Oryctolagus cuniculus: one gene and its partners. The main gene of each other region encodes a partner of the protein of the gene in region 4 in a complex. Links are inferred from orthologs where the notes say so. Each region holds a gene or a part of one and is shown on either strand. Other genes may lie near its edges.

Region 1 (3,511 bases), on a different chromosome or scaffold from region 4:
TGGCCTGCCTTTGCTATCTCATACTGATTCTGCCCCAGGAACCCCATGTGCCAACCTTGCCAAACACTCACCTGCTCCACAATGTTCTCCTCTTTGTCTCTTGCCCCTAAGGCCTCAAGTGGAAGCCCCCTCCCCACCTCTGCCTTGTGATGCCTTCCCAGACACCTGCCAGGTAGCACTGGGCCTCGCTTCCCTGGACTCTGTTCACAGACACGGTACACAGAGCCCTGGTTAAAGGGGATCATGATGGACCTTGACTGTCCCCGACAGCTCCATGTGCCCACCACCCAGCACCACGCCCGTGCCAAGTGAGAGCACAGTGAACCACCAGCAGCTCACAGAACCCTGGAGAGCCCTATCAGAGGGCGAAATTGCTTCATGTGGAATTGTGGGCGGTGGCCAAGTGCTTGGTAGACAGAGGTTGTCAGCAAAGGCAGAAGTAGGGGAGCAGGTGTGAGAGCCCACCCTCTCCTGGGGCTGACGCTACCTGTGCTGAATGGGGCCTAACGGCTGGGGACAGGACCTGCTTTGTCATGAGCCTGAGATGCCGAGGGAGCTTGCCCCCCACCCTCCTAGAGTGGGAAACTTGGGGAGGGGCCACCTTTTCTCCACCACTAACTGACCCGGTGACTTTGGGTAAGCCCCTCATTCTGGCTCAACCTCAACTTCCGGATCCATAAGTGAGCATAAACACCCCTCTCTCACAAGGTGTGGAGGCGCACACAGGCCTGTAGCCGGGGGCATAAGCCAGGCAGCACTTCTGCAGCGCCGCGTTGGGATGGTTCCGCCCTGAACAAGCTTATCCCGGGGTCAGCGTCCCTGACATTCGCTCTTCTCGGCTTCTCAAACGTTGCTCAAGAACCCACCACGATGGCCTGCAGATTGTCCCCAGAAAGTCCTCTGGCTCTCACCTGCTTTCCGTCCCCCACCCTTGGTCTCGCAGAATGTGAGCTACTGAGCTAGGGGTCATCAGAGTCAAACACACCAGACTCAGAGGTGGTCATCTGGGGCCATGGAGGGAGCCCTCAGCTCGTCACCAGGGAGAGGGGGACAAGCAGGCTTTGAGCCCGGGTCTCGGCTCCTTCCCTGAACCCTCAGGGTCCCCAGCTCTGCCACGTGAACGGGAGCCTGACAGGGTGGCGGGGAACAGCAGCCATGGATGCCCACTTCAGAGCTCCATGGCACGGCCTTTGCCAGCTCTGCTACCGGAACCCAGCCGCAGGTCCGTGTTTATCTTCCCTGGACTAATCTCTGCCCCCCTTCCCCTTCCTGATGGAAACGAATGAATGAAGCCAACTGCATGACCCAGTTTATGTACGCAGGGCACCATGCCAGCTGTCGATGTGGTAGAAAAGCCGCGGCCAGCGCCTGGGGAGCAGCTCCTTGGCCCTTCCACCACATTGTGCGATCGGCACTACCATCAGCCCCACTTCGTGGAAGGGAGAACAAAGCTTCCCGGAGCTGCCAGAGGGAAGCCAGCAGAGTGGGGATTGGCACAGGGCAAGGTGGCGTCCAGAGCCCACAGGTGTGACACCTCATCGTTCCAGGGGCGGGAGTGGGGCCCTGCTGGTGTGCCTGTGAGCCCACAGGGTGAGGAGATGAGTGGGGCGGAGCCGGCCAGCCTGGCTGGAGCAGGCCCCCGGCCATCGGTGGCCCGAGGACTCACATGGTGCTGGAGGCGAGGTTGGTGTCCTCGTGCTTGATCTTCCCGTCCAGGGCCAGGCCCCTTCTCTCTCGGTTGTTGGCCAGCAAGGGCACCAGCGTCAGCGTCTTGGTCAGGGCGTTGCTTGGCAGTATTTTGTCTCTGCAGGAAGAAGAACAGACAGGAGACTGATAACCACAAAAGCCGCCGGCGACTCTCTGAGACTTGGTTTGCCGTGGGGCTTTTTCCAAGCTCCGAGTTCCGTTCTCGGCTTCCTGGGGAGAGGAATCAGGGGCCTTGGGACCACCTGGAGTGGAGCAGACAGCGTCCGCGAGTCCTCAGGGCAGGCCAGCAGCGTCCTCAGGCCTCTTGGCCTGCTCTGGGTTACTGAATGTCTACAGTGTTCTGTGGCTGAAACCAATCACGCAAGGCCAGAGGCCACAGCCAGCCTCTGAGACGTCGTGAGCTGCACAGTGGGCTGCAGAGCCTTCTGGTGGGTGCCAGCAACAAGCCCAGGCTGGAGTCTCCAGGGGCTGAATACGGTTGCTCTTGGGGGATCAGAGTGGTCCCCAGGAGGGTGAGGCGGAGACCTTCCTGTGTGCACCTCAAAGCGGCACACACTCTCCCCCACATCTCCTCTATCACTCAGCAGGCTGCGGGTTCCCCAACAACAGAGAGAGGGGGCAGGGAGCCTGGGCCTTAGTGGGGGTAGGGATGGGCGTGGGCTCCCCCAGGTCTGGCAGCATCTCCAGGGTCAGGAAGCCAGGTCTGACGGAGAGTGGGCCCCCCCATCCATGCACGCACCACGTCAAGGCCAGAGGCTCAGGCCCACCCTCTCAGCCTTGCAGCTCATCCTCGGCCGCACAGCTGTGTGGGCTCTCCCTGCAGAGCCTGTGCGCACCACACCCTGCCTCCTCTGTCCGGGCCAGAAGGTGGGGCGGGCCAGCACACACGGCCGGAGCAGCATCCTGAGCCAGTTCCCGGACAGCGGGAAGCTTGTACTGCCTCCCTGGGGAAGGACTTCCCTCGTGGACCTCCCCAGGCGCCGAAGCAGCTGTGGTTTATCCTGCCTCCAGTGCGTACAGGAAGCTCTTTACAGAGCTTTGCTGGAGCCCAAGGTAGCCCACATCCTCTCATCTGTGCTCTTAACGAGCTGGACTGCGCAGAAGCACTGGCGAAAGCAGACATTGCGTTTAAAGGTGACTGGAGGAGGAAGGGGTCCCTGGAGGTGGGACTGGATCCCGGCCTTTCGTGCAGCAGAGCTCGTCCGAAGAGCGGGCCACGGCCCTGGGACTGGGTGCTCGGTGGCAGCTGGTTTGCAGCAGGCCTTGCCCATCTTGGGAACCGTGGGGTTCTGGGACAACAGGTTGTGCTCTGCAGCCTTCTGAGTGACCTCTCATCTGACATTCCCTAGCATGCTCTGGCCCAGCTCCTAGTCACCCCTCAAGTCTGGCCGGGGATCGGGGTGGGGGGATCTTAGCATGGTTTTCAGTTTCCTGGGAATCATTTGGCCCCAAACACACCCAAGAACTTAAAAGAGGGCCATGCGGAGACAGCATTGTGGAACAGCAGGTTAAGCCGCGACTTGAGATGCCAGTATCGCCTCTTGGCGTGCCAGTTGTTCAATTTTGCTCCATCCTTGTCCATGCACCTGGGAAGGCAGTAGATAATGGTCCATGTGCTTAGGCCCCTGTCACCCATGGAAGGAGACCCAGATGGAGTTCCAGGCTCCTGGCTTCAGCCTGGCTCAGATCTAGTTATCGTGGCCATCTGGGGAGTGAACCAGTAGATGGAAAATTTCTCTCTCTCTCTCTCTCTCTCTCTCTCTGGTGCTCTGCCTTTCAAATAAGTAAATTTTTTAAAACGGGG
Region 2 (4,006 bases), on a different chromosome or scaffold from region 4:
ATAATTTTTAAATATGGAAAAGTAAACAAAGCAGGAATATGTATTTAATCTGGCAGCCTATTTCCTTATTGTATGAACATGCAAAAACCCACCTGTTCAAACTTTGCACATGATCCCACAAGCACAGTACTGACAGCTTGATGGCCTGGCTGTATTTTAGCATTTTGTAGTTCAGCACCTTCACAAATCCTAAAATGCACATTGAAAGACTTATCTCTCCCACAGGTAACCAAATCTGTTTGTTTATAAGGAAAATGGTGATTTTCTATCTAATATGTGTTTTATGGTACATATAAATAAAATAAAAAATGAATTTCAACTTTTTAAAAAACCTGTGCAATATAATATTTGCCCACAAACCTGCAGATTTTCAGGGAGTATGTGATATCTGCTGGGGTGGTTGAAAACTATAATACATATTTAGATGTGTTTATGGTTGTTACTTTTCAGGATGAGCCAAATTACCCACTGTTTCAAAGCACACTGGCTTTTATTCCCTGGGTACCAAATCAATACCAATCCTTCCAGCACTGCAGCTGTTGCCTAATGGCCCCAAAGAGTTAATGTGCTGCCTGCATAGAACACATTTGGGTGTCTACACAAAGTGGGCCCTCAATTAGTGTTGACGGATTGACTTTCTCACAGGCAGTAAAAGCTCAATTTATAGAAATGGATCCCATGAGATTAAAAGCAATCATTTCAGAAAATTGTGTGTTGAATTCTATGTTTGTAATAATACAATATCTATGAATAAAAGAACTATATGTATTTTTCCCATTGTTCTAAGAATGGAGTTTTCTAATTCACTGTTAGATTGTAAGACATTCCCAAGGATTTTAAGTTATAATTCACACATAGGAAGACCACAAAATTTGGATAATTTCACAAAAGTATTCTGATTATGATATAGGAGTGCTTATGAAGAATCTTAAGAGCCAAATATCTGAAGACACAAGCACCATCGACTTTCAGTGAGAATGAATGATTTGATTGCTCACTGCTGGTCATATTGATTGTGTAGATTTTTTACAACGTCCTACGTTATCTTAGGCTCTTGCTAAGGAAGATCTTCATGTTTGTGAAGATGTGCCAGAAGTTACCATTTAATTTGGAAGCATAATTAATTTCCTCTTCAGGATCCAGCATGGCTGGATGGTTTCAGTCCTGGATCAGGTGACAGATCAGAGAGCATCCTCTTAGTCAAAGCAGAATTTTATGACGGAGGGAATGGGCTGTTGGGTACCTCGGCAGACATTACTCTGGCATCCTGCGTCCAGGCCAGAGCTGTGCTCTACATTAGAAAAACTTTGAGCAAATAAAGCCACAAGTATCTTAACGCTGCAGAATGGGAAGTGGAATTAGCTCAGAGAGCAAGGAGTCAGCCAAAAGATCCAAGGAACTGGAGAAAAAGCTCCAAGAAGATGCTGAGCGAGATGCACGAACTGTAAAGTTGCTACTATTAGGTAACAGGTTCTTTTTAATTTTTGCTTTCAAAAATCTGTTTTCCTTCAACTGTGTGTTTACTTTCTTCAAAGTTTAATTTCAAATGTATTACTGTGAAGATTTATTATGAAAATGTGCACTTTATAAATATTTCATAATAATTTTCTGTTTATTATTTCATTACATTTTTATTAAGGAAAGAGATGAATATTTACTAGATGACTCAATTTCTCTGTCAACAATATGATTTACTCTTAGTAAAAAGAAACATTATATATTTGTTATTTTATTGCACCCTGATCATTCCCTGAATGCCATTTTCTAATACTGAAAACAGCTCTCTAATTATGTTATAAAGAACTGTATTATTTGTTTGAGCAGAAATGCTCCATTGTTTTACATCAAAGTTAATATGTTGTTTATTTACTTGTGATGGTAAAATCAATAAGTCTCAAGTTACTTAGATAGTATTCATAAAGTACCTTTATTTATGGTAATAACATGATTCAGACTCCCAAGTGCTGCCTGTGATATTATATGTACTCGTGACAAATACTCCATTTAAATCCTTCTACAGCATTTATAATAGTTATCCTATTCAGGAATTGTCTTTTCTATTTTTTTCCTTCTGTTTTACCACAACTATAAGTTCAATAAGTGATCAAGTAGTCAAAAGAATCAAACTAACCAGAATGCTAAACATTTTCATAAAACATTTAACCTGCCGTGGTACTAAAACAGGCATGCTTTTGCAATAAAATAAATTCTTGCAGAAAGCACAAACTTTAATTAAATTAGAATAGTGTATTTTCCCTGATCTTAGTTATACATATACACAAAAGCACTTCATTTTATTTCAGAGTTGTGAATCTCACACAACAAATTGCCCCATTTCTGAGTGCTCCTTAGCTATGCCAATTTGCTCCCAGTGGCAAAAATGAACAACTGTAGAATCCCCAGCACTTGCTCCTCAAAGGAAAGGGTATGTTCTCCTGTTGATACACAGGTCCTGTGGCCGCACACATGCCCCTAGCATTTGTAGGCTCCCAGCTGGAGTTTAGGGACTTAGAAAGATATTGGGATCAGAGCTTACAGAATCAGCAAATGTGCTTTCTTTAACACTTCAGAGAAGTCTCAAAGGCTCTGATCAAGAGTGAAAATAAAGTAGATATAGATAAAACAAACAAAAGGCATGAGGCAAAGCCAAGCACATCTACAAGAGCCTTTTATATTCTTTTATACTAAGAACAGTGGTTCAAGAGTGGTGCGAAAATACATTAAGAATTCTTGTGTTTGAACAAAATTTTGCAAGAATAACATGGATTCTCATATTCTAATTATCTTCCTTTTTACATTTTCCTTATTATTTCATAAAAATAAAAATAGAAATCCAAAAAGTAGGGAGGCTAATGCTACAATTCAAAGGAAAATATCATTAAATATGCCCAAAGCAATGACTCTGGAGATGAGTATATTAGAATAGCTGGTCCCTTGGAGATTTGATTGTGGAGAGAATAGGTTAAAGAATATGTACACATAACCCAAAATACATAATGCATAGCCAAAAACTGAGTCAAAAATATGCAGTGTAATGATAAAGGAACTGGATTTTTTCCTGAAACTTTGGATTGAGATTCAGAATATTTATCTGGGCTTCCAGAATCAGAAAATTTGCAGCGAATGATGTTGGCCCAATTTATTATAGAAAATACTGTCAGATGAAGCAAGAACCACACCAACTACTTTCGATTTAGGTGGTAGGTTTTGACAAGAAGAAAGAGCAACATTGTACCAGAGATCTAGAAGAATCATATATGTTCTATATGTTCTACTTTCCCAAGATGATCACTGTTTTGTATATCCAGTTTCAACATTATCATATAGTACGCTTACATTTTTTTGGTTCCAACAATATATGTGTTAAAACTCTCAGTCACATGTTTCCCGAATACAAAATGAATCAAATCCTCTTTAATATTTCCTATTTCAGCCAAATATTTTCCCTTCTGGACTCTACTTGACGTCCATGTGTGATAATGATTCAATCATGAGATTCAAAACAGCGAAGGCCTTCAGTGATTCTGCTTCATTGTCATTTTGGACTTGAACTAATGCTCTCTACACTCTCATTTTTAGTTCCAATTTGGCCATAAATGTATATCTGAACCTTTCCACTCCCACACTCAAGTCACCTCACCAATGGAATCTATTTAATCTGCCCCACTATTGAAACAATGTCCTGTCTCACCATTGTGGTCGAAACACCAGTTATTAAGTCTGCCAGTGAGTGTATGTCTCATAGGACAAATCAATTTAATCTTGGTAGTTATCAATTTCTGAATATGGTCCTACATTTACAAAAATGAAAAATCTAGAAACAGCTTCAGCACAATACATTCTTTACAGTGATCCTCATTACCTGATGAATGGGTGCTTAGACACAACACACCAGCTTTCTAAACTCAATGTGTATACACAAGATTTCACTGACTCCAAAGAGCTATCAGATTGCTACTTTCCAAATAAAAGACCCTCTTGCACAGGTTCCTTTCTTATGGCATCT
Region 3 (3,995 bases), on a different chromosome or scaffold from region 4:
CTCACGTCGCCGCCGTTCATGATGGTCATCACCAGGCACAAGTCCGTCCTGGTTTCAAACGCGTAGGCCAAGGACACGATGAACCGGCTGTGCACTTTTGCTAGAATCTTCTTCTCCACCATGGCACCCTGAGAGGCAGACGCGGGAAGAGAACTCACGCCGGGCCCGAGGGCGGGAGGGCGCCATGGAGACCGGCGCGCAGGGAATCTGTTTCAAGCCAGACTGTCAACCCTTCCAGTCGCGTCCCGCGTGCCCGTCCGTCCACACAGGGCACTGGGGAGTCCTGCTCAGCCCAGCCAGGGGAGGCTCAGCCTGCCAGACTCTTGCCCCGCTCTCCATGCCTCTTCCCAAGCCACTGCAAACGTGACGTGCCACTCCCCGCGCTCGGGACGGTGCCTGGAGCCCGTGTGGGAGGGACGCCCTCCCTGCAGACGGCCAGCGGGCGTGCACTGACCTCACCTCGAATCCGACAGCAGCCACGGTCACTTCCACCGACACCCCAGCTAACCTCCGGCTCAGGGTCAAGGGCCGAGACACCGGAGGTGGCTGCTGTGCGGCCCCACCCATGCCAGGAGACTAAGCAGCTTTCCCTGATCCTGCCCAGACGGACATGGACACCAGCGACAGCAGGGGTCGAACAGGAGGGGCCCCACCACCCCGGTCCCTGGGAAACAGTGGCATTTGGGGAACAGCACTCCTGCACACCCTGAGGGTCCGGGATGCCGGGCGGACACAGCCCTGCCGTCCTCGTGTGCCTCTGTCGCAGCAAAAGCAGGGCCTTCAGCAGGGGCTTCCCGAGAGTGGGGCCAGGAGCCCAGGGGACAGCCCCCCGGAAAACGCTCTTCCCTTCCACTCACTCCGGGATCACAAGCTTGCGGCCCAAGGTACAGCGACCAGGTGGGACTGATGTTGCAGCCACGGCACTGCCGAGGCCCCGCTGCCCCCATGTACACGCCAGCCGGGGGCCCCTGCGAATCTCAGCAGGCTTCCCACCAAGATGGAGCCCCAGCCGGAGCCCCAGCCAGAACCTCAGCCAGTCCCCCCGACTGCCGGAGCCCCAGCACATCCCCCTGCCTGCCGGAGCCCCAGCCAGAACCTCAGCCAGTCCCCCCCACCTGCCGGAGCCCCAGCACATCCCCCCGCCTGCCGGAGCCCCAGCCGGAACCCCAGCCGGAACCTCAGGCAGTCCCCTCTGCCTGCCGGAGCCCCAGCCAGAAACTCAGCCAGAACCTCAGCCAGTCCCCCCGCCTGCCGGAGCCCCAGACGGAACCTCAGCCAGTCCCCCCGCCTGCCGGAGCCCCAGCACATCCCCCCGCCTGCCGGAGCCCCAGCCGGAACCCCAGCCAGTCCCCACCGCCTGCCGGAGCCCCAGCACATCCCCCCGCCTGCCGGAGCCCCAGCCGGAACCTCAGCCAGTCCCCTCCGCCTGCCCGCGGCTGCCTCCCACTCACCTGGTAGCCCTTCCTCTTCTTCAGCCGCTTCTTGTTCAGCTTCTTGCAGGCGTACATCTTGCCGGTGGCCTTCATCTGGCAGGCCGACACCTCCCCAAAGCCCCCTTTCCCCAGGACCCTGAAGTCCAGGAACCAGTCCTCCCCGATGGGCTGGGCCTCCAGCCACTTCCACTGCAGGAAGCGCAGGAAGTACAGGCTGTCCAGGTACTCCTGGAAGGGGGCCTGGCTCAGGTGTGCCAGGGTGGCCTGCAGCAGCGGCTGGAAGAGGCCGTCCTGGCTGGCCACGGGCCCCTCCTTCACCCTGGCCACCGTCCCCTCATCCAGGAAGCTGCAGAAGAGCTTGGCCTGGGGGTCCAGGTACTCGGCCAGGATGGCCCGGGCCTTCTGTGGCCGCAGGTCGTCGTCGGCCGTGTCGTAGTCCTCAATGTCCTTCCAGAGCTCCAGGGCCGGCACGTGCCTCTGGTCCGTCCCCAGGAACTGCTGGAAGAGCCGCTTGCCGATGGGCTGCTCCGAGCACAGGCTGTCGAACTCCAGGCTGAGGCCAGCCCGGAGACCCTCGCACTTGGACAGCGGGGGCAGCTTGAGCTTGGCCAGGTACTTCTTGTCCCGGGAGGATGGGGCGATGCTGCCATCGAAACTGCCCCGGGCGGCGATGAAGGCAGAGTTGGCCACCACCGTCTCCAAGGCTCCGAAATCCATCCTGGCGCTGACCTCCCGCCCACTTCAAGCACAAGGAGTCATCAGCTGAGGACTGACCCTCTGTCCTTGGCCTGTGGCCCGTTCCTGCCCTCCCAGGACGAGGGAGATGTCCTCTGAGGCGAGGATGCTGGCCACCTGCTGGGAAGCCCCTGCCACCCAGGGCTGACGCAGCACTGGCTAAATCCCAGTCAGGGTCACCGAGACACATGGGGTCACCGGCAGGTGCAGACAATCCCCTAAGCCGCTCCGAGGCGGATTAGACGGACCTTCAGCTCGGGGCCTGGCTTCGTTTTCCCCCAGGAAGGGCAAACCCCCAGGAGGAGCATGAGATTCATCCTGAGCTGACCTGTCCACCGCCCGGCCCCAGCAGCTGGGCTGGAACTGACCACTTCTGCAGAGAAAACTCACTGTGTGACGATGGCTGGTTGGTTTCCCCCATGATGCTCCATTTCTAGTTTTAAGAAAAATGCAAGTGAGAGGAAAACCAGCCAATAACAGGAATGTGGAGAACAGCTTCTGGGGGGGGGGGGTTCTGAAGGCGAGACCACCAGCTCCAAATTGCTTTTCTTCTTCTCGCCTGGGACTTGCAGAGAAGCAGCTTTGCTAAGGTGAAAGAAAGAACCAGGGAGAAGAGGAACCTGGGGTGACCCCAGGCTGAGGCCCACACAGAGCAAAGCAGGCAATGAGAACACAGAAGCCAGGGACACACCTGAGCCATACCTGAGCCACACCTGAGATACCTGGGCCACACACCCAGGACACAGCAGAGGCACATCTGGGGCACCACTGAGCCATCTGGAACACGGCTGGGGCACACCTGAGCACCTGGGCTACACCTGAGACACACCTGGGGCACACGTGAGACACCTGGGCCACGGCTGGGGCACACCTGGGGCACACGTGAGACACCTGGGCCACGGCTGGGGCACACCTGGAGCACACCTGGGGCACACATGAGACACCTGGGCCATGGCTGGGGCACACCTGGAGCATACCTGGGGCACACGTGAGACACCTGGGCCATGGCTGGGGCACACCTGGAGCACACCTGGGGCACCTGGAACACACATGAGACACACCTGAGCACCTGGGCCACTCCTGAGACACACCTGGGGCACACGTGAGACACGCCTGGGGCACACATGAGGCACACCTGGAGAACACCTGGAGCACACATGAGACACCCAGGACACGGCTGGGGCACACCTGGAGCACACGTGAGAAACCTGGGCCACGGCTGGGGCACACCTGGGGCACACGTGAGACACCTGGGCCACGGCTGGGGCACACCTGGAGCACACCTGGGGCACCTGGAACACAGCTGAGGCACACCTGAGCACCTGGGCCACTCCTGAGACACACCTGGGGCACACGTGAGACACGCCTGGGGCACACATGAGACACACCTGGAGAACACCTGGAGCACACGTGAGACACCCAGGACACGGCTGGGGCACACCTGAGCACCTGGGCCACTCCTGAGACACACCTGGGGCACACCCAGGGGCGGCAGAACCACCAGGAATGCCGGCTCCATGAGGGACAGCCTTGTCTGCCTTGTTCGGCGTCCGTGGAGCTCAGTGACCATACAGGGGAGGGTGGCAGGGAGGTGCAGGGGCTGCAGGGGCTGGGAGGCAGCTCAGCACTCCCCAGCATGCCGAGCCAGGGTCCAGGGCACAGTGCAGTCCCCGCCAGTCCAGGAGGAAGTGGGTTCTGCAGATGGACTTGGGCTCCTCCGCAGTGGCCAATCAGGCAGAAATGAGAACCCGCAGACTGAGTCCACCGCAGCCTCCCAACAAGCACAGTGGCATGCAGGCTGGTGAGCAAATATTTGAGGTGGACAAC
Region 4 (3,057 bases):
CAGAGCGCTTCAGCTCACACGGGCACGCACACACACACACATACACACACAGCAGCCAGGAGGCCGGGCAGGGCGTGAGGATTCCCATTTTATGGGGGAAGCAAGTGGGACCCCAGGGAGAGAGATACAACTTATGCAACTCGTCAGCCAGGTGCGAGCTGCTTCCGCCAAGGGAGCTGGAGACAGCGGGTGTGTTGTCCCGGCCCACTCGTCCCTTCATTCATTCCTCCACTCACTCCTTCATCCATTCTGTCCTTCCTCCATCTAGCATTTATTAAGCACCTACTGTGTGCCCCGTTCTGTGCTAGATTCTGAGCCCTAAGCTGGGACACTTTTCCAGAGAGCAAGAGTTCTTTTGTTCCTGAGAGATGAGTTAGGGGAGGAGGGAAACAGGCAGGTCCCATGGGCCCCTGGGAACCTGGGACTCCAGGTCGGGGTCTCGGTGGGTGCCTCGTCTTGGGCTGCCCCGCTGAGAGGGGAGCATCATTTTTCTCATTATTTTTTTTTTCTTTAGGGGAAAACAACCCTCTCACGGAGCCTGCGAAACTTGGTTCTGACAGGCGCCGCTCCTGGTGGGGTGGCTGTGGCTGGGGGTGGGGTGTGAGGGATGGGAGACTCCTACAGTCGGCCACGGAGTCCCTGGCAGCGCTTAGGCCGGGGCCACCTGGCTGGTCTCCGTCTTGGAAGCGGTGGCAGAGGCCTCGTCGTCACCCAGTGGGTTCTTGCCGCAGCAGATGGTGGTGAGCATGCAGTTCCGGAACTGGAAGGCAAGAGGCATGGGTCAGGCTGCAAGGCCGCGCCGTGTGGAGCCGGGGTGGCGTGGTCAGCGAGACCTGCCTCCGCGCCCTTCCCCGCTCGGCCCTCTCGCACCAGTCTGGGTCTCTGGGGGCAACCTTGCATCTACATCTTGCCCCCAGAGATGCCAGCGGCCAACCCCAGGGGCTCGGCTACGGAGGACACTGCGGGGCGCCCTCTGAGTCCGGGATTCTGCCGTTTCTAAGCTTGAGGCCGCCAAAGCCCAAAGAAGGGAATGAAGCTGTCCAAGGTCATGCAGGACCCGATCTGCCTGACTCGAGGGGCCATGGGTCCCCCACTCATGGCTTCCGCAGATAAGCCACTGGCTTCTAGCCTTTCAGCTCCTTGCTAAGCTTTCCGGAGACCAGCACCATCTTACCCCCAGGCTCAGGTCACGTGAGCCTTAAAGTAGAGTCCAGAACCAGGGTGAGGGGTGCTTCTCACACATGAGCAAGCACTGGCCCTCCCCCCACCCCCAACAAGGTCCTGGGCCTCCGCCAGGCCAGCCAGGCAGAATCTCAAAGGCGGGGCCCAACAACCTGCCCTTCTCATAAGCTCCCAGCTGAAGGGGGTGTGGCCTCCAGGAGCCCCGGGGGAGGCCCCCTCCCCTCCCCAGCCTGCAGGCACCTGCTTGTTCATCATGATGTAGATGACAGGGTTGTAGATGGAGGAACTCTTGGCGAAGAACGCCGGGATGGTCATGAAGATGGGCCCGAAGTTGGAGCCCTGGTGGGTGAAGATGTAGAACGCCACGCTGGCGTAGGGCACCCAGCAGATCAGGAAGGCGATGACCATGATGATGACCATGCGGGTCACTTCCTTCTCTGCCTTCTGCGTGGTGGCCGACTCCTGCTGCTGGGCAGCTGCCTGCAGGGACACAAGGCCGGTGTCTGGGCTGCGGTGCCCAGCACCTGTCCCCAGCACCCAGCTAGGGGCCCTGGAGGGCAGAGGAGGAGACTAGACCGCCTGCGGGGCAAGGCCAGCCCCGACCGTACCTCCTTGACGGTAAAGACGAGCTGCCCGTAGCAGAAGAAGATGATGATCAAAGGGATGGTGAAGTGGACCACGAACATATAGATGACGAACGACTCGTTGTTGACCTCGGGCTTGAGCGTGTAGTAGTCGATTCCGCACGAGCACTGCATGCCCTCAGGGATGTACCTGAGCGTGGGGCGGGGCTCATCAGGGAGACTGCCCACCCCCCACAGAGGGGCTTGGGATTGGCCCAGCCGATGCACTGGCTGGTCACTAGCCCCTCTCCCGGCCCCCCTTCTCCCCACTCCCTGTAAACAGACTGACTTGGCCCGAGGGTGGGATGATTTCTGGGAAACCGTGTTGTGGTGGGCCTGGCGGCCTGGTGGCTCTGTCACCAGGCGAGACCGCCCAGCCTCCCCGCACTGTTGTGTGCCCGCCCCAACATCTCCCTGCTGCCTCAACTGCCTGGCATCTCTTCACAGCCCCTGCCGCTAGTGCCCTTGGACGTTGGCGGAGAGGAGGGGAAAGCCCCCAGCTCCGCTTTCCAGGCAGGTTGGACAACCCAGGTCTGCAAGCCACAGGGGAGCAGCATGTTCTAGGCCTAAGAGAGCCACCCGGGGATTCTAAGGAAACAAGAGGTGCCTGGGGCATGTCGCTGGTGACATTGGACTGGCCTCTGAAAACCCCGAGCACACAGCGTCCACACTAACAGGCAGTGACGGGCACCTACCAGGAGAAGATGGAGAAAGAGGCCAGGGCAGGGAGGGCTCGAATTCAGCCAGGGCCTGGAAGGGGACCCCAGGCCGAAGAAAGGAGGGTGGGATGTGGAGCTGTCCCCTAAGCAGCCAGTATGGCCATCTATGCCACCTTCCTTTATCTTAACCTACTTGGGAGACTGGCTGGGGGTTGGGTATGACCCTGTCCCCAGGAGCCGCAGTGGCACCAACTCTGGGGTTACTCCAAAAAGTGCATGGAACGTGGAATGAAAAAAATAGTAGTTTGGGGCCAGCACTGTGGTACAGCAGATTAACAAGCTGCTTGGAATGCCAGCATCCCATATGGGTGCCGGTTCAAGTCCTGCTACTCCACTTCTTTTTTTTTTTTTTTTTTTTTTAAAGGCAGAGTTACAGAGAGAGATCTTTTTTTTTTTTTTTGACAGGCAGAGTGGACAGTGAGAGAGAGAGACAGAGAGAAAGGTCTTCCTTTGCCGTTGGTTCACTCTCCAATGGCCGCCGCGGCCGGCGCGCTGCGGCCGGCGCACCGCGCTGATCCGATGGCAGGAGCCAG
Region 5 (4,033 bases), about 15 Mb from region 4:
TGAGCTCCAGGAACTGCACCTTGATGTAGTTGCCCGCGTCCTCGTAGGTGTTGGGCCCTGTGGAGAGCGCGCGGGTCTCACTCCCGGCCCGGACCGCGGGCCCTGGACGCCGCCCAGAGGCCGCCCCGCGCCGCGCCGCGCACCGTCGTAGTCCGGGAAGCAGATGCTGAGGTGGGCCTTCTTGATCTTCTCGGAGAAGACGTCCTTCTTGTTCAGGAAGAGCACGATGGACGTGGTGGCGAAGTAGCGGTGGTTACAGATGCTGTTGAACAGGTGCAGGCTCTCGTGCATGCGGTTCTGCGGGGGGCGGGGCGGGCAGCGGCTGTCGGGCACCGGGGGGGCCGGCGGCGGCCTCCGCGCTGCCCCCGCGTCGGCCCCGGGCCCCGCCGGGCACTCACCACCTCGTCGTCCTCCACCAGCACCATGTCGTAGGCGCTGAGCGCCGCGATGAAGATGATGCAGGTCACGCCCTCGAAGCAATGGATCCACTTCTTGCGCTCCGAGCGCTGCCCGCCCACGTCGAACATCCTGCGGGGCAACAGCGCCGGCGGCGGCGGGAGCCTGAGCCCGCGCCTCGGCGCCCCGGGGGCCGCGCGCGCACCGCCGCCCCCGCCCCGCGCCTCCCAGCGCCGCCCGGTGCCCCGCGCTCCGCGCAGCCGCGCCGTCGTACCGGAAGTTGAGGTCCTTGAAGGAGAACTGTGTCTCGATGATGCCGGTGGTCTTGACTCGCGAGCGCAGCACGTCCTGCTCGGTGGGCACGTAGCCCGGGGTCACCAGGCGCTCCAGGTCCGAGAGGTAGCTGCGGAGAGCCGGCGTGTGGGCGCGCGGGCGGCGCGGCGCCCCAGGGCAGGGCCCGCCCGTGCCCGCGCCCCGAGCCGCCCGCGCTCACTAGCCCGCCGAGTCGTTGAGCTGGTACTCGGAGGCGCGCTCGAAGCAGGCCTGGATACCCGAGTCCTTCCACAGCCGCTGGATGATGTCCGACATCTCCTTGGGCATCGTGCCTTCCTCGATGGTGTCTGCCATGTGCATCAGCTTGCGGGCGTCGTCCTGCGGGCAGGGCGCGAGGCGTCGGTGGCCACCAGGGCCCCGCCGCGCGCGCCCCGAGCCCCCCACCCCCACCCAAGTCCCGCTCCGCCCGTTCCCAGCGCACCTGGCGCGCAGAGTCTCCGTACTGGATGTTGAGTGTGGTCATGGCGCGCACGATGGCCAAGATGGACTGTAGCGTATTGCCATAGATGATGGCGATGAACTCCAGGCACTCTTCCAGAGAGTACCCGTCCTGGTGGATAATCCTGTGGCCAGGGCGAGCAGGGTCAGCGGCCTGTGGGGCCGGCGGTGAGGCGCACGCGCGCCCATCCCCACCGCGGGACCCCAGGCCGGGCGAGGGCACTCACTTCATCTGCTTGACGATGGTGCTCTTCCCGGACTCACCAGCACCTGAAAGGGAGGCCATGCCTCAGAGCAGCGCCCAGTGTCCCCTGGTCCCGACGCCGAGCGTGGGGTGGACGGGTGGACCTGCCGGCCGACCCCAGTCACCCCGACCCGCCCCCCCCGCCCCGATACAGAGTCAAGTACCGACGCCCTGGTGGAAGGCCGCATGTGGATGTCAGGAAAGTGAGCAAAAGAGGCCTACGAGGGGGACCGGTGACGACCACTGTGCGCGCGGGTCTCTGAGACCTGCCGCCTGTAGTATGCTGAGACCAAGCTAATCCTGGAGCGCCACCTTGTGGGCATCTCTGGTGCTGCCCGCGCGGGATAATTTGAGCCGGGTCACCCCCTGTTTTTCTCCACAAGGAAGGTGGGCGGGCTCCAAGAGGCTCAGAGAGAATTAGCGCCTTTGGGTGGGAGAGAGGACAGAGCTGACATCCTTTCTGATCCTGTCCCCGCGAGGGCCTTGGACATAGTTAATGGGATTTCCGGCTTAGCCTCTCTGCCTCCTCTAACCCGGCTTGGTCTCTACGGATACCTCCAGCTTGACTGGGTGGAGTCTGCCCCTTTCTCTTAATGCAGGTCCTTTCCCTTGGTGGTGGTGGTGGGGGATTGGCAGTGGCCTTGGGGCAGGCCTGGATCAGTCCCACCTCCCCTCGCTACACTATCCATGGAACCATGGCCTAGGCTTTGTTAACCTTCCACACCCCTCCACCTGCTTTGCCCTGGCACCTGGGGACCATTTTTGTAAATCCAGATGGTCCTGGAGTCACCCTACTCCCTGGGGGATGGTGGCCTCCTTCCCAAGGGAGCAGCTGGATGTGGGGCTCCCAGTGAGGCCCCTAGTTCCTGAGCTCTGCCCAGCAGGCCCACCAAACCCAAGGCTGGAGTGTGAGGGCGCAGGCAGGGACCAGAGTGTGCCTTCTGCACACACTGGGTCAGAGTGAACTTGGCACACACCCCTGGGGAGTGGCAACTTCCCGAGGCGGGGCCCTCTGGAGAGGTTCTCCATGGATGCCCAGCCTCCGGGAATGCGTGGCCAGGGTTCCTGCCCTGTGCCCTGCCCTGGCCAGGGTTCCTGCTCTGTGCCCAGGCCACCACCCCACCATTGATGCCCCGCGGGGCCCTACCCAGCAGCAGCAGCTTCACCGTCCGAGCATCCTTCTCCGCGTCCTCTTTCAACTTCTTCTCCAGCTCCCTGGAGTGCTTCTCCTCGGCACTGGCCCCGGCCCCCATGTTCCAACAACAGCTGAGGGCACAGAGTGGGCAGGCAGTTCTTCTGGACGCAGGGGGTCCTAAGAGCCAGGCTCAGGCCAGCCTCTGGCCTCCCCTGCTGCCTTTCTGGTCCTGGGACTGGCAATCAAATGGCTCTCTGCAGACTTGTGGGGGCCCTGGGAGGGGGGGCTGCTTAGTGGGATTTGGGGGCTAGGAGTGCCCAAGAGCCAATCAGAGACAAGGACAGGTGAATCCAGCTCAGTCCCCCAACCTTTCTAATCAGGCTGGCGTGGCCCCAATCCTTGCACCGCTGACTCTGCACCCCTGTGTCCCCTCCCCAGCCCTCCAGGAAGGATCCTAGACACGGCCCTGCCTCCACCCCAGAGCAAGGAGACACCTTCAAGAGGGTTGGCGCTCCAAAAGGGAAGCACGGGTCCTCCAGCCCTGGGGGCAGGGAGGCAGAAGCAGGCGTGGGGCACCTACACCTGCCCAGCAGAGGCTCAAAGGGCCACTCAGCAGGTGGTGCGTGTGGAGAGCCAGGTGGCTTGGAGCAGAGCCCCGCAGGGAGTTAGGAGGAGGAAGGGAAGCACTGCACTGCCCCACAGAGGGCAGGACCTCCGCACACGTCCATGCGTCCGCCGGACTCTGCTGCACAAGCCTGGTCGCGTGTGGCTCCATGCAAGGCAACGACACGACATGTACACTCATGGGTGCATGTGTGCACGTCCCATGCCTGTGTGAAGTGCATGGGCTCTTCCACGTGAGTGTCCTGTGCCTGCCAGTACATGGATGTGCATGTGTGTGGCGGCACCTGTGTGCGTCTCTTCAGGTGCAAAGGTATCCTGTGGGTTCACGCGTGTGGTGCATGCCTACGCGAATGCCAAGGAGCCTGTGTGTGCTGTTTACAGGGGCACACAGTGCCTATGCCTACGCCTGCGTGTGCATTTGGACACAACAGTCTCAGACCTGCAGAGGTGGCGGGGCCTGTGGTCACACGGGGACACAGAATCCCGGAGCAGGTCTGGTGCTGCCCTGCTGTCTCCTGTCGGCACTTTGGGTGCCCTGTTGAGCACTTCAGGCTGGACACTCCCCGACAGCCATCAGGAAACCCCAATGTAGGCCTCAAGGGCCCCCCCAGAGGCCCTGAGCCCCCTGGCTGGCCTCTCCCTCTGGAAGCTGCCTGCCTGTTGGGACTCAACTGGCGCAGAGACCACGAGGGGGTGCCAGGGCCCCAGACACGGAGCCCTGGGGGCTGTCCCCGAACAGGAAGTGGCTCTTGTGTCCACACCCACCTTGGTGGGTGAGCGGGGATGTGGCCGGGAAATGATTTAATTTGTGCCAATTTCATCCTCAGCTCCATCCGCACTCCCAGGTCCTGGAAGCCCAACCT

Evidence for each region.
Region 1: the proteins of RHO (region 4) and SAG are in contact, whole or in part, in a crystal structure (PDB 4PXF), measured with the Bos taurus proteins. The link is inferred for Oryctolagus cuniculus from reciprocal best matches to the Homo sapiens genes RHO and SAG. Residues at the interface, in NP_001014890.1 of Bos taurus: Arg135, Val138, Val139, Lys141, Leu226, Glu249, Val250, Met253, Met309, Asn310, Lys311, Gln312; in XP_010802144.1 of Bos taurus: Asp71, Ile72, Met75, Gly76, Leu77.
Region 2: the proteins of RHO (region 4) and GNAT3 are in contact, whole or in part, in a crystal structure (PDB 4A4M), measured with the Bos taurus proteins. The link is inferred for Oryctolagus cuniculus from reciprocal best matches to the Homo sapiens genes RHO and GNAT3. Residues at the interface, in NP_001014890.1 of Bos taurus: Leu72, Arg135, Val138, Val139, Lys141, Thr229, Val230, Ala233, Thr242, Thr243, Lys245, Ala246, Glu249, Val250, Asn310, Lys311, Gln312; in NP_001103452.1 of Bos taurus: Ile344, Asn347, Leu348, Lys349, Asp350, Cys351, Gly352, Leu353, Phe354.
Region 3: the proteins of RHO (region 4) and GRK1 are in contact, whole or in part, in a cryo-EM structure (PDB 7MT8), measured with the Bos taurus proteins. The link is inferred for Oryctolagus cuniculus from reciprocal best matches to the Homo sapiens genes RHO and GRK1. Residues at the interface, in NP_001014890.1 of Bos taurus: Lys66, Lys67, Arg69, Thr70, Arg135, Val137, Val138, Val139, Lys141, Ser144, Asn145, Phe146, Arg147, Phe148, Glu150, His152, Leu226, Thr229, Val230, Ala233, Gln236, Gln237, Glu239, Thr243, Ala246, Val250, Met257, Ile305, Tyr306, Met309; in NP_776598.1 of Bos taurus: Leu6, Glu7, Thr8, Val9, Val10, Ser13, Ala14, Ile16, Ala17, Ala18, Arg19, Gly20, Asp23, Ala24, Glu184, Asp185, Trp186, Phe187, Leu188, Asp189, Phe190, Val192, Arg195, Glu200, Gln205, Met206, Lys207, Lys221, Arg222, Thr256.
Region 5: the proteins of RHO (region 4) and GNAT1 are in contact, whole or in part, in a cryo-EM structure (PDB 6OYA), measured with the Bos taurus proteins. The link is inferred for Oryctolagus cuniculus from reciprocal best matches to the Homo sapiens genes RHO and GNAT1. Residues at the interface, in NP_001014890.1 of Bos taurus: Leu72, Arg135, Val138, Val139, Lys141, Ser144, Asn145, Phe146, Arg147, Val230, Ala233, Gln236, Gln237, Ser240, Thr242, Thr243, Lys245, Ala246, Glu249, Val250, Met253, Met257, Asn310, Lys311, Gln312; in NP_851365.1 of Bos taurus: Ala27, Arg28, Asp189, Leu190, Val312, Glu314, Tyr316, Asp333, Ala334, Asp337, Ile340, Lys341, Asn343, Leu344, Lys345, Asp346, Cys347, Gly348, Leu349, Phe350.

Annotation. Positions count from the first base shown.
Region 1 is NC_091434.1:6,225,769-6,229,279, forward strand, and holds part of SAG (S-arrestin), read right to left. Parts: intron 1,805-3,511; coding exon 1,667-1,804; intron 1-1,666. UniProt on the Homo sapiens protein: Binds to photoactivated, phosphorylated RHO and terminates RHO signaling via G-proteins by competing with G-proteins for the same binding site on RHO. May play a role in preventing light-dependent degeneration of retinal photoreceptor cells.
Region 2 is NC_091434.1:145,244,425-145,248,430, reverse strand, and holds the start of GNAT3 (guanine nucleotide-binding protein G(t) subunit alpha-3), read left to right. Parts: upstream 1-1,205; 5' UTR 1,206-1,345; coding exon 1,346-1,463; intron 1,464-4,006. UniProt on the Homo sapiens protein: Guanine nucleotide-binding protein (G protein) alpha subunit playing a prominent role in bitter and sweet taste transduction as well as in umami (monosodium glutamate, monopotassium glutamate, and inosine monophosphate) taste transduction.
Region 3 is NC_091440.1:442,558-446,552, forward strand, and holds the start of GRK1 (rhodopsin kinase GRK1), read right to left. Parts: upstream 2,810-3,995; 5' UTR 2,151-2,809; coding exon 1,452-2,150; intron 129-1,451; coding exon 1-128. UniProt on the Homo sapiens protein: Retina-specific kinase involved in the signal turnoff via phosphorylation of rhodopsin (RHO), the G protein- coupled receptor that initiates the phototransduction cascade.
Region 4 is NC_091441.1:114,346,692-114,349,748, forward strand, and holds the end of RHO (rhodopsin), read right to left. Parts: intron 1,957-3,057; coding exon 1,791-1,956; intron 1,663-1,790; coding exon 1,423-1,662; intron 761-1,422; coding exon 650-760; 3' UTR 509-649; downstream 1-508. UniProt on the Homo sapiens protein: Photoreceptor required for image-forming vision at low light intensity. Required for photoreceptor cell viability after birth.
Region 5 is NC_091441.1:99,122,379-99,126,411, forward strand, and holds the start of GNAT1 (guanine nucleotide-binding protein G(t) subunit alpha-1), read right to left. Parts: upstream 2,807-4,033; 5' UTR 2,665-2,806; coding exon 2,559-2,664; intron 1,750-2,558; exon of another isoform or gene 1,576-1,749; intron 1,438-1,575; coding exon 1,395-1,437; intron 1,293-1,394; coding exon 1,151-1,292; intron 1,048-1,150; coding exon 890-1,047; intron 800-889; coding exon 671-799; intron 529-670; coding exon 399-528; intron 298-398; coding exon 144-297; intron 58-143; coding exon 1-57. UniProt on the Homo sapiens protein: Functions as a signal transducer for the rod photoreceptor RHO. Required for normal RHO-mediated light perception by the retina.